Linked DNA regions of Saccharomyces cerevisiae S288C. The protein of the gene in region 1 interacts with the protein of each later gene in a pairwise test. Each region holds a gene or a part of one and is shown in the gene's direction. Other genes may lie near its edges.

Region 1 (3,171 bases):
CAAGCTAAAATTACCGCACCTAGGTAATAACAATTCAATTCTTGAAGTCTGTCCGGACATAGAAAACAACCAATTATTCATACTCTACTCTGATGGCTTAAGAATCCTCGAACTATCATACCTAACATCAAATAATGGAAATTTCTTATTAAAATCTACAAGAAGCAAAAATAAGAAATTTTTATATCTAGACAAAATAAATCGAATGCTGGTATTGAATCAGGACTTGAGGGAATGGGAGTGTATTAGACTATCAGATGGTAAGGCAGTTGGTTTAGATTCTCAACTTCTTAAGGATGATTCTGAAGAAATCCTAGAAATAAAGGAATTACCAATAGCAACAGAGGACAATCCTTTAGAAAAGAAAACTGTATTATTGATCTCTTTTACTAGCTCATTAAAACTAGTTTTATTAACTGCTGCAAAAAACAAAATTTCCAATCAAATAATAGATTCGTATAAACTTGACAATTCAAGACTCCTCAATCATTTGGTCATTACTCCCAGAGGTGAAATATTCTTTCTGGATTATAAAGTTATGGGCACCGATAACGAAATGTCCTTTAACAAGTTGAAAGTCACAAAACATTGCATTGACCAGGAGGAGAGAAATAATACGACTTTGCGGCTCACTTTGGAAACCCGGTTTACATTTAAGAGTTGGAGTACAGTTAAGACGTTTACTGTAGTAGGCGATAATATCATTGCTACCACAAATATGGGCGAAAAGCTCTACTTGATTAAGGATTTCTCTTCATCATCTGACGAATCGAGAAGGGTGTATCCCTTGGAAATGTATCCTGATTCAAAAGTTCAAAAGATAATACCATTAAATGAATGCTGCTTTGTTGTTGCCGCTTACTGTGGAAATAGGAACGATTTAGATTCAAGATTAATTTTTTACTCTTTACCCACCATCAAAGTTGGGCTTAATAACGAAACAGGCAGCCTACCAGATGAATATGGGAATGGGAGAGTCGACGACATATTCGAGGTTGACTTTCCTGAAGGATTTCAATTTGGCACTATGGCTTTGTATGATGTTTTACATGGTGAGAGGCACGTAAATCGTTACAGCGAAGGCATACGGTCGGAGAATGACGAAGCAGAGGTTGCCCTAAGGCAGCGTAGAAATTTACTACTCTTTTGGCGAAACCACTCTTCTACACCAAAACCTTCACTACGCCGAGCCGCCACTATAGTATATGAGGATCATGTATCATCCCGTTATTTTGAGGATATAAGTTCTATATTAGGAAGCACTGCAATGAGAACTAAAAGACTATCTCCCTATAATGCGGTAGCATTGGACAAGCCTATTCAAGATATTAGTTACGATCCCGCAGTACAAACTTTATATGTGCTAATGGCAGATCAAACAATTCACAAATTCGGCAAGGACAGGTTGCCTTGCCAGGACGAATACGAACCAAGATGGAATTCTGGCTATTTGGTTTCAAGAAGGTCAATAGTTAAATCTGACCTCATCTGTGAGGTTGGGTTATGGAACCTTAGCGATAACTGCAAGAACACAGTATAATTCCCTCATTTCCAATAACATTGTCGCTGATAAAATCGTGATTCTCGATCAATGTGCTACGCGTCGTGCAGCGTGACAAGGGGCTAAAAAAAGATACAAGAATTCTTGTTGTTTCCAATTTGCTTCGCCTCAGAAAAAAAAATAAACAGATTATACAATTTTTGTTTGATTTGTATTGGGTACTACATGTTTTAGTAGTTGATACAAATACTTCTTTATCCTAATCGTATATATTTATTTTACCAGCAGGAATTCGTCTTTAATATCGTTTCGACCATCGATCATTCCTCTGAGTATTGCAAAAACATTTTTGGAACAACCCAAACTTAAAGTTACAAAACTCAAAAAAGGAACAAAATTAATAAAACAAAAGAATCGCTGTTAGAGGTTTATTGTTGCACTAATAGAAAATCATAGAACTTTAAAAATTATACTAGAAAGATGTCACAACAAGTTGGTAACAGTATCAGAAGAAAGCTGGTAATCGTTGGTGATGGTGCCTGTGGTAAGACATGTTTATTAATCGTCTTTTCCAAGGGCCAATTTCCAGAAGTCTACGTACCAACTGTCTTTGAAAACTATGTAGCAGATGTTGAAGTTGATGGGCGTCGTGTAGAGCTAGCGCTATGGGATACCGCTGGTCAAGAAGATTATGATAGACTAAGACCATTGTCATACCCAGACTCCAATGTCGTATTAATTTGTTTCTCTATCGATCTTCCAGATTCTTTAGAGAATGTACAAGAAAAATGGATTGCCGAAGTATTACATTTCTGTCAAGGTGTGCCAATTATTCTTGTTGGTTGTAAAGTGGATTTGAGAAACGACCCACAAACCATTGAACAATTAAGACAAGAAGGTCAACAACCCGTTACATCACAGGAGGGACAATCTGTAGCAGACCAGATTGGCGCAACCGGATACTACGAATGTTCGGCCAAGACTGGTTATGGTGTCAGAGAAGTGTTTGAGGCCGCCACTAGAGCTTCATTGATGGGTAAATCTAAAACGAATGGTAAAGCTAAGAAGAACACTACTGAAAAGAAGAAGAAGAAGTGTGTCTTGTTATAGGAGTGTCTCGATCTCTCAGTCGTTAACTTAGTGGCAGATACTGCCCTTTTTCAATCCCATTCCTTTTCTCATTGTATGTACGTATGCCTTTTTTTGTTATTTTAGCTCTAACTATAGCTACTTGTTTTTCTCCCAGTATGTGTATAATCTTATTCTTCTCTACATATAAGTGTATTGCTCAGTAAGTATTATCATCTATTAAAGAAGAATAAAAATTATCATGTATTTATTTACAAGTGCGTATCCTATATATATATATATATATACTTTCGCGATAAAATTTTTTACCAAATACCCTTCTTAACACCTGGCAAATTACCCTTCAGAGCGTTTTCTCTAAATTGATACCTACACAACCTAAAATCACTTAGAACAAATCTTGCATGTCCAGAGTCCACGCACCTATTTTTGATCTGCGTAGATCTCATGTAGTTTGGCAATGCATTTAGTTTTAACTGAGCCTCCAACCTCAGTTTTGTTGGAAGGTTCATATTTCTAGCGATGAATTTCAAAGATTTAACAAGGATTTCATTCTCTTTAAATTGTTGTCTTTTGAAGTT
Region 2 (4,075 bases), 630 kb from region 1:
TCACACCAATATATTCTTGTGGTGTAACACCTTCACCGGATTGTCTATCGTGATCCATACAAGCTTGACCATCTTTTTCAGAGTAAATAGTATAACGTTCACCGAATTTGATTTTACCAGCAGCCTTTAACTTGTTCATTTGCCATCTAATAAAGGCATCGTAATAAGGATTGGCATCAGTGGTGACAAAAGAACGTCTCCAATCGATACGAGCCCCAAGTGAAGTACAATCACTTTCACACAAAGGTGGGAAATAGGTCAACCAGTACTTGGCGTCGGCGAACTTAATGATTTCTTCTCTAGGGATACCAAGCTGTAACATGATTTCGAATTGGTACTTACCACGGCCCTTCTTGGCTGCGGCTTTAGATTTTTTAGCTTTGAATTTGGTAACATCCTCGTGGTCTTTCTCAGCCGGCGTTTCTTCTTTAATTTCTTCTTCTTCTGCTGGTACATTGTCGAAGTTCTTGCCAAAAAGTTCGGCTTCCCTCTTTAGTTTATCGGCACATGCTAAGATTGGCATACCTGTACAGTGAAAACCCAATGGAAACAAAGCTCTTTTACCGTTCATCCTTTCAAAACCAATAGAAAATTCGACTTTGGAGAGAGTAAAACAATGGCCGGCGTGCATAACACCGTTCATATAAGGATAGGCCATAGACGACATGAATTTAGGATACGTGCGATGTAACTCTTCAGAGTCCATTGTAATGGGCTCATCTTCGATTGATGGCGCATCGATTTCAAATTGGTGCTCTTCAGCCCATATTTTTTGGTACTTCTTTTCGATGGCGATTAACGCATCTCTACGTGCCGTGTTTTCTAAGACCAAACCAGAAGACATTATAGACTGGTTAAAGATATTTTTTTTATATTCTTCACTCTGGAAAAAAATTTCGGTGGCTTTACGTGATTATGATTTATAATAATACAATCATTCAACGTTTGAATAGAATATGCGTTAGGTTTCTTTTCGCTTTTGATTTTTTTTTTTTTTTCATTATTTGCGTGGGTGACTGATTTAGTTTTTCAATGTAAAAGAACCGTTAACGGCCAGACCTCGTATAAAGTGAGGATAACTATAGGCAATAATGGGCGATGTGTATGTAAGCACGAGCACTAGTTCAATACACATCAGAAAGAAACTTCGTCTAATTATTTCTTACCCAAGTAGTCACCCAAAAAGACCTTTTCAAAATATGACCTTGATATTCCTTGTCCGTCAGTTACCAGTTTTACTGTTAGCCGCCGAGGTCCTAAGGGCCTCGTAAGATCGTTCTTGTCTTCCCATGACTAAAGTTCTGCCACTAAGTTTAAGCAAACTCGGCTAAAATATTGAGCCAATATCGTATACTCATTTGTCTGATCTTCAAATAGTGAATCCCTTCCTAAACTTTCTTGTGATAAAGGTACTTAGTCAAAAGTATTTTTCTTTAACCATGTCAAAATAAGATCATATTACCCGCCGGCGGCAAGCCAAGCAACGTAAAATGGCTGAAGACAACGTAAGCAGGTCACTCGCGAACTAAAACTAACCGCGAATAACAAATCACCTCATCTATATTTCAGCCCCAAAAGATTGTGGTTTCAAGTGAAAATAACTGTCCTACTAAATGGATTACGAAGAAATTTTATTTGGTCTGCAACCGATCCTCAATGCGTCTTCAATAAAGGATGTTCCGATGAACGATGTCTACTTAGGAAGCTACCTAGCGGTAATGGACCAATTGGCTGTTTCGTTGAGAGAACCAAGTAATAGAGATATTGTTGGTAAAACTGGGCTGCTACTGAACCTAGTAAGAGTATTAGAACAAGCGCTTGATATCTGCTTTCATGATACGAGCATTTCAATTAATGATAAAATAGCGTTTTATGAGATCAGTTCTGAAGTGATTAGATGTATCGCTAACGCAATAATTGATAATGATGATAATCGGGAAATTCTCTTGGATTCTGGAGGTAAAAAGCTTCTTAATTATTATATAGGCGGGGTTCTTCAGCTGGACGAAATTTCTTCTGACAAGAGTGAGGATAGCTTAGTGGATAAATTACAGATGCGGTCAGTTGTGCTACTAAGGAATTTTTGCATTGGAAATCTCAAGTATACAGAAAATTTGGCTCCCTTCATTAGAGGTCCATTATTTGTTTTGTTGAAAACCACACAATATAGCTATTTGTCATCTCCCGAAAAAGTTGTTTTAGGTTCAGATTTATTGAACGATATTTTAAAAGTCAATTACTCAAATGTTCAAATAAGCGATCTCTTTTTCTTAAGCCAGTACATCAAAAAAATCTCTTCAAATGTGCAAAATAAAGAATTGCAGGCAATGGAAGATGGAGCAGTCGAAGCATATTCAAATACTGAAACTCAGAAGTTCGCTGGCCAAGGAAATCAAGAGTACATCGAAAAAGAGGAAGAAGATGATGAGGAGGACGTTAATTGTGAATTGCTATTAAATCTGTCAACATGTCTTGAAACTATTGTAGCCAAGGATGAAACTATAAACTTTACCAATGAGGAGCAGCTTGTGCTAAGCATGCAAAAAAATTTAATATTGTCCTTAGTTTGCTTAGAATCAAAAACCTTCAATAATAAGCTAATTGTAATGAGAAGACTCATATCGTGCGCAGGCAACATCTCCGCCAACCTAACAAACTCTAACAAACGAGAGCAATCATTATGTATCGAAACTATTAAGAGTTCCGCAAGTAGTTATGCCCTAGCCGCAGCTTTGATGATATTATGTAACTCAGTTGCATCCAAAAGTGACGCTGTCGCGCTACTGAAGCTCATATCTCTTAGTGAATTGATTCAAGTTGGTAGCTTGCTACAAGACCCACTACAATATCAAGGATTCCTAGATTTACTGAGGAAGCTGTTAAATCTGGAAAATACCATGTGGCTAGATATCAAGGACCTCTTCACCCTATTTCAGATTATGAGAAGATGTCACGAGCAAACTAAATATTATAACAACCTGAGATCGTTATTAACAAATTTATTAAACAAAACTTTAACGGTGCTTCCAAGTTCAAAAATACACAATTCAATAAGCAGTGATCCAACAATTATCTCTTTTATAGCAGAGCATGGAACGTTAACGTCCTGTATTGCGATGGATAAGCTGCTTGTGTCCAAGAAAGCCCTTCCTAAAGAAGCTATTACATCCCTATGGGATTCGATCTTCAAATTCCAAAATTTAGGTCAAGCAGAACAACTAAGCATCTCAGATTTATTTCATATCACAAAAACGGTTGGAATTTATTTAAAAGATTCAAGTGTAACAGCTGACGTGAATCCGATTGAAAATATACTATTCAAGGATTACATTCAAAAGTTAACCCTGATATTAGAGACCATACTTTCATTTAAAGAAAATAAAGATAAGGGTAGCGAGAGTTGTTTCAACAATGGGAAATTTATAGCGGGCATAATACTAAACATTGTGAAAAATACGAAATGCTTAACGCCAGAGGAACAAAATTTAGAAGCGCTTGCAAAATCGTTCTTTTAGACACGTAATCGCCTTACCTACGAGGGGAGAAAACGTTCCCTCTGCATGTATATATATATATATATATATAAATATTAAATCTTGAATATTGTTGGATTAAGCATGTGCTTGACAAATGGTGTATGGGTTTGTAGACGATGAGAGTGGAAGGGAGATTAAAAGTTTATTGCAGATGCGAACATCTGCACAAAAGTACTTGAATGTACTAAGCAGAAAAAGTTCTAATACATATTAGCAGGAGGCCCAACAGTCACACAAGTTCAGCAGAACTGCCAATTAATCGAAAAGAATATGTATGTTTCTAATGGGAAAGACACTTGCCAGTTGTTGGGGCCCGTGTCTCTTTTTGTCCAGACATTGATGGGTATGACAGCCGTGATTGTGTTATTGGTGAAAAGAAACTATGAGCATCCAAGGAGAAAAATGATTGTGTGGAGTTATGACATTGGAAAACAAATCATCGGCTCTCTTGGAATCCATTTTTTGAATCTAGGCATCAGCATACTGAAGAAAAGACGAAGGTCACTCTTCGCAATCACTGCAAAAGGCAATGATGATGA
Region 3 (6,611 bases), on another chromosome or scaffold:
AAGTCTCCAAATTCTAGTGTTAACCCAGATGAAACAGTTGCTTTAGGAGCAGCTATTCAAGGTGGTATTCTATCCGGTGAAATAAAGAATGTCTTACTTTTGGATGTGACACCATTGACATTAGGGATTGAAACATTTGGAGGAGCGTTCTCACCCTTGATACCTAGAAATACGACAGTTCCAGTAAAAAAAACAGAGATATTTAGTACTGGTGTTGATGGGCAAGCGGGTGTTGATATCAAAGTTTTTCAGGGTGAAAGAGGGTTAGTGCGTAACAACAAGTTGATTGGTGATTTGAAACTTACAGGAATCACCCCTTTGCCTAAAGGCATTCCCCAAATATATGTTACTTTTGATATCGATGCGGATGGTATCATCAACGTATCTGCCGCTGAGAAAAGTAGTGGGAAACAACAATCCATTACTGTAATACCAAATTCTGGGTTAAGCGAAGAGGAAATTGCAAAACTTATTGAAGAAGCAAATGCAAATAGGGCACAAGATAACTTGATCAGGCAAAGGTTAGAGCTTATCTCTAAGGCTGACATTATGATAAGTGATACTGAGAATTTATTTAAAAGATATGAAAAACTGATTTCTAGCGAAAAAGAGTATTCTAATATCGTAGAGGACATCAAAGCTCTGAGACAAGCTATAAAGAATTTTAAGGCTAACGAAAATGACATGTCAATTGATGTAAACGGAATAAAAAAAGCTACGGATGCGCTACAGGGTAGGGCATTAAAATTATTCCAAAGCGCAACAAAAAACCAGCAGAATCAAGGTAAATAAGTGAACAAAACACAAATAAGACTTGTATATTAACGTGTATATCGTTCATTAAAGCATATTTTGACGTATTTATACTTTATACATTTATATATTTCTTTCCCGTTTCAAATTTTCGGTTCAAATAAAGTTGCATGTGGATTATTATGTTCCCATAAATTCTAGTTTTTATTATTTTCCTTGCACCGTATACCTTTATAGAGATTTGTTCATGAATCTTCTTCTTGTGAACGCCAACCAAAACTTTGAGGGATATTCCTTAGAATCTGTAGAGCTATAGACTCTTTCTAATAGTCTCATTGCCAATTCTTGACGGAATTGCTGAATATAAGTCTTCAACAAGTCCATCGAATTATGATCTTGTACTGGAACTTGGTAAACATTATTCAGAGGGAAACCCGGTGTACCTGGTAAAGTAAAGTTGTCCAAGGCCACATTGGTTAACACTTTGACGGCTTCGTTAAATGACGTTGTTATTTTCAAATGGGCTAGGCAATCATTGATAAAGAGAATTCCGTAGATGAGCACTCTGTCGGCGGGTGATTTAATTTCAAAATTCTTGAAGAAGGAATTGGCACGAAATAGGTCCAAGCACTCGTCGATAATATCGTAATCGGAATTGCTGGGGTATGCAGGACCCCTGAACTTAGTGTTCAAGGGCAGAAGCGCAAAGTTCCCTACCATGCGGTCAGTGTTAGGATCTACAGGGAAAGTCGAGTGATACGCAGGCATTTATTAATATACTGGGAGTGGAGAGACTGATAATACCAATAATCTTCCTTTATTGATGTTTGTTACTGCGCACCAAGTGTTTAATTTATTGTTATTCATTGTTATACTAAACCAAACCGCAACGGAAAGGATAGGGGTTCGTGGTGGATGATCCGCGTAACGGCCGAGTCTGTGAAACTGAGAGAGAATGATAGTGAAAACAATGGTATGGAAGTCCGAGGTCCTAAGGCTTGAAGAAAGTTTTTAAAGGGCATTATGACCAGTGAGTACTGACGACCTAATTTAATAACAGTATTGAGCCGATTAGGTTTTCCTGGATTTTTTTTTTGCTGTTTTATAGCTATTTTTTTATTTGTTGTTTGTGGTCATTAATATATTCATTCGCTCTGTTAGTGTAATCGATTACAGTGCTCTATTACTGCTGACTTAATTGGACAATTCATCTCTTTTCCTGCGGTTATGAGCGAAACCAACGTTGACAGCTTAGGGGACAGAAATGACATATACTCCCAAATATTTGGTGTAGAAAGGAGGCCAGATTCCTTCGCTACTTTTGATAGTGACTCGCACGGAGACATAAGTTCTCAGCTGCTGCCTAATAGAATCGAAAATATCCAGAATCTAAATGTTCTGCTTTCTGAAGACATTGCTAATGACATCATTATTGCCAAGCAGAGGAGACGTTCTGGAGTTGAAGCCGCCATCGATGATTCTGATATACCAAATAACGAAATGAAGGGGAAAAGCTCAAATTACATTTTATCGCAGCAGACTAATATTAAGGAAGTTCCAGATACACAAAGTTTGTCTAGTGCTGATAATACACCTGTGAGCAGTCCAAAGAAGGCAAGAGATGCCACATCTTCCCATCCCATTGTTCATGCTAAATCGATGTCCCATATATATTCAACGAGTAATAGTGCTAGTAGACAAGCCAAGCACTATAATGACCACCCTTTGCCTCCAATGTCTCCAAGAAATGAAGTTTACCAGAAGAATAAAAGTACTACAGCTTTTGTGCCTAAGAGGAAACCTTCGCTCCCGCAACTAGCACTTGCTGGTCTTAAGAAGCAGAGCAGTTTTTCCACCGGCAGTGCATCAACCACTCCTACACAGGCTAGAAAATCGCCTTTGCAAGGGTTTGGTTTCTTTTCGAGACCAAGTTCCAAAGACTTGCACGAACAGCACCAACATCACCAGCATATTCAGCATAATAATATTAACAATCATAATAATAATAATACTAATAATAATGGCGCACATTATCAAGTGGGTAGTAGTAACAGTAATTACCCTCAACATTCACATTCTATATCATCTAGATCGATGTCGTTGAACTCATCTACTCTAAAAAATATTGCATCATCTTTTCAATCGAAGACTTCTAACAGCAGGAAAGCTACGCAAAAATATGATATAACTTCCAACCCATTCTCAGATCCTCATCATCATCATCATCATCATCACTCTTCAAACAGTCACAGTAGCCTAAATAATGTCCACGGGTCTGGAAACTCCTCAAGTGTTATGGGAAGCTCGTCTAATATTGGGTTGGGTCTTAAAACGAGAGTTTCTTCCACCTCATTAGCTTTAAAAAGATACACTTCGGTTTCAGGAACTTCTCTATCTTCTCCACGTAGAAGTAGTATGACACCTTTGTCGGCATCTAGACCTGTTATGAGCGCTTCATCAAAAAAACCTCAGGTATATCCAGCTTTGTTGTCAAGAGTCGCCACAAAATTTAAAAGTTCGATACAACTCGGGGAACATAAGAAGGATGGATTAGTTTACCGTGACGCATTTACAGGGCAGCAGGCAGTCGATGTCATCTGTGCTATCATTAGAACTTCTGATAGAAACTTAGCCTTGTTATTTGGTAGATCACTAGATGCACAAAAGCTGTTCCATGATGTGGTATACGAGCACAGGTTAAGAGATTCACCACATGAAGTTTACGAATTTACAGATAACTCAAGATTTACAGGAACAGGTTCCACAAACGCCCATGATCCACTGATGCTACTCCCAAACTCATCATCTTTTAATTCCGGGAACCACTCTTATCCGAATTCCGGAATGGTTCCATCAAGTTCAACTTCATCTTTGAATAGTGATCAGGCAACTTTGACAGGGTCGAGGCTACATATGAGTAGTTCATTGTCCCAGCAAAAGAACCCTGCAGCCATTCATAACGTCAATGGTGTGTTTACATTACTGGCGGAATGCTATTCCCCTACGTGCACAAGAGACGCTTTGTGTTACTCTATTTCGTGTCCAAGACGTCTTGAGCAACAAGCAAGGTTAAATCTGAAACCAAATGGCGGCCTGAAACGTAATATATCAATGGCATTGGATGATGATGACGAAGAAAAGCCATCTTGGACAAGTTCCGTATCTAAAGAGGATTGGGAAAACTTACCAAAAAAGGAAATAAAAAGACAAGAGGCTATTTATGAAGTTTATATCACGGAGAAGAACTTTGTAAAATCATTAGAAATTACAAGAGACACATTCATGAAGACTTTGGCTGAAACAAATATTATTTCAGCAGATATTAGAAAAAATTTCATCAAGCATGTTTTTGCACATATAAACGATATCTATTCAGTGAATAGACGTTTTTTGAAGGCTTTAACTGATAGGCAAAGAAGTTCACCAGTTGTGAGAGGAATTGGGGACATTGTTTTAAGATTCATTCCATTTTTTGAACCATTTGTTTCATATGTCGCTTCAAGACCATATGCGAAGTACTTGATTGAAACCCAAAGATCAGTCAATCCCTATTTTGCTAGATTTGATGACGATATGATGAGCTCCTCCTTACGTCATGGTATTGATTCGTTTTTATCTCAAGGTGTTTCAAGACCAGGTCGATATATGCTATTGGTCAAAGAAATCATGAAATCTACTGACCCCGAGAAGGACAAAAGTGATTATGAAGATTTAAGCAAAGCCATGGATGCATTAAGGGATTTTATGAAAAGGATTGATCAAGCAAGTGGTGCTGCACAAGATAGACATGATGTAAAATTGTTGAAACAAAAGATTCTTTTCAAAAACGAATACGTTAATTTAGGATTAAATGACGAAAGGAGAAAAATTAAACATGAAGGTATACTATCACGGAAGGAGTTGTCAAAATCGGACGGAACAGTTGTTGGTGACATACAATTTTATCTTCTAGATAATATGCTCTTATTTTTAAAGGCCAAAGCAGTTAATAAATGGCACCAGCATAAGGTATTCCAAAGGCCCATTCCATTGCCATTGTTATTTGCATGTCCAGGTGAAGATATGCCTGCGTTGAGGAAATATATTGGAGACCACCCAGATTGTTCAGGAACTGTAATTCAACCAGAATACAACACGAGTAATCCTAAAAACGCAATAACTTTCTTATACTACGGTGCCAAGCAGAGATATCAAGTTACATTATATGCTGCGCAATACGCTGGATTGCAAACGCTTTTGGAAAAAATAAAGCAAGGACAAGCAGCTATTATAAGCAAAACGGAGATGTTCAATGTAACGAAAATGAGCGATAGGTTCTTCGATTACACCAACAAAATTAACAGTGTTACTTCCTGTGATGGGGGTAGAAAACTTCTGATTGCAACGAACTCTGGATTGTATATGAGCAACATTAAAAGACAGCAGAATAAAGATCATAGACATAAAAGCTCTGCTTTTTTTTCAACTCCAATCCAACTAGTACAAAGAAATAATATCACTCAAATTGCTGTATTAGAAGAATTCAAATCAATCATACTTTTAATTGATAAAAAATTATACAGTTGTCCGCTGTCATTAATCGAAGCAGAAGGTAATGGGACATCTTTCTTCAAAAAGCATCACAAGGAACTGATCAATCATGTGAGTTTCTTCGCAGAAGGAGATTGCAATGGTAAGAGATTAATCGTGACTGCACACAGTTCATCGCATTCAATTAAGTACTTCGAGCATGAACATCCATTATTGGCCGAAAAAAATGGTAGTGGTAGCGGTAACAAAAAAAGTCTCAAGAAAAAAATCACCGAGGTTATTTTTGATTCTGAACCTGTCTCTATTTCATTTCTCAAGGCCAACCTATGCATTGGCTGTAAAAAGGGTTTTCAGATCGTTAGCATTTCACAGAATGCTCATGAATCCTTGTTAGATCCGGCCGATACATCATTAGAGTTTGCACTAAGGGATACTTTGAAACCAATGGCAATCTATCGTGTGGGAAATATGTTTTTGCTGTGTTACACAGAATTTGCCTTCTTTGTCAATAATCAGGGTTGGAGAAAGAAAGAATCGCATATTATTCATTGGGAGGGAGAGCCCCAAAAATTTGCAATTTGGTACCCGTACATCTTGGCATTCGACAGCAACTTCATTGAGATCAGAAAGATTGAAACTGGCGAATTAATTCGTTGCGTCCTTGCTGATAAGATTCGACTTCTACAAACAAGTACTCAAGAAATCCTGTACTGCTACGAGGATTATCGCGGGTATGATACAGTTGCGTCGTTAGATTTCTGGGGTTAAGATAGCAACGTATATAGACTTTCCTTATTTTCTTTAGAATAAAAAGCATAACTAAAGTTGTAAAAGGAGCAGAATTATGAATAATAAACATTGATGACAATAGTGGAAAACGACATAAATAATAATTTTATAATATAATAATGATAATTCACCGTCAGAGGGATTTGTATGCAAATGATTGATGACGCGAGAAAAAAAAACGCGAAATTTTTCTTCCCAAAGCTTCGAAGTTTTTATTCCGTCCACAAAGTGAAAAATTTTCAGAAAATTTTCCAGACTGTGAATAAACAAAAGGTTGGCTTACGCATTTGGCTTGTCTTTTTTTTTTTTCACAGGTTCTTAGTAAATAATTGTATAAAATATTTATCTGGAGTCTTCTGTTTGTTGTTTAGCCTTGTTTGAAGTTTTATTTAACTTATTACCCCAGTTAGGTACTGTGTATTTTCCGCATATCTGGTGTCTTTTTATTTGGTCATTGATTGGTTTTTGACAGCTCTTCACTCGCTTCAAGCTTACTTCTAGTTTATTTATTCGGCTTTTTTCCGTTTGTTTACGAAACA

What was found. The genes of interacting proteins can lie anywhere in the genome.
Region 2: the proteins of RHO1 (region 1) and BEM4 interact in a two-hybrid assay, tested with the Saccharomyces cerevisiae proteins (5 studies listed by BioGRID, with this or other methods).
Region 3: the proteins of RHO1 (region 1) and ROM2 interact in a two-hybrid assay, tested with the Saccharomyces cerevisiae proteins (3 studies listed by BioGRID, with this or other methods).

Annotation. Positions count from the first base shown.
Region 1 is NC_001148.4:873,387-876,557, forward strand, and holds RHO1 (Rho family GTPase RHO1), read left to right. Parts: upstream 1-1,981; coding exon 1,982-2,611; downstream 2,612-3,171. Other genes in the region: MMS1 (Mms1p), read left to right, coding at 1-1,540; mitochondrial 37S ribosomal protein uS14m MRP2, read right to left, coding at 2,896-3,171. UniProt on the Saccharomyces cerevisiae protein: Acts as a central regulator in the cell wall integrity signaling pathway, which is regulated by the cell cycle and in response to various types of cell wall stress.
Region 2 is NC_001148.4:243,759-247,833, reverse strand, and holds BEM4 (Bem4p), read left to right. Parts: upstream 1-1,613; coding exon 1,614-3,515; downstream 3,516-4,075. Other genes in the region: leucine--tRNA ligase CDC60, read right to left, coding at 1-844; YPL162C (uncharacterized protein), read left to right, coding at 3,807-4,075. UniProt on the Saccharomyces cerevisiae protein: Probably acts as a GEF (guanine nucleotide exchange factor) for the Rho family of small GTP-binding proteins (G proteins) that stimulates the dissociation of GDP to enable subsequent binding of GTP.
Region 3 is NC_001144.5:860,734-867,344, forward strand, and holds ROM2 (Rho family guanine nucleotide exchange factor ROM2), read left to right. Parts: upstream 1-1,980; coding exon 1,981-6,051; downstream 6,052-6,611. Other genes in the region: Hsp70 family ATPase SSQ1, read left to right, coding at 1-792; ARC18 (Arc18p), read right to left, coding at 985-1,521. UniProt on the Saccharomyces cerevisiae protein: Stimulates the exchange of RHO1 GDP-bound form into GTP-bound form.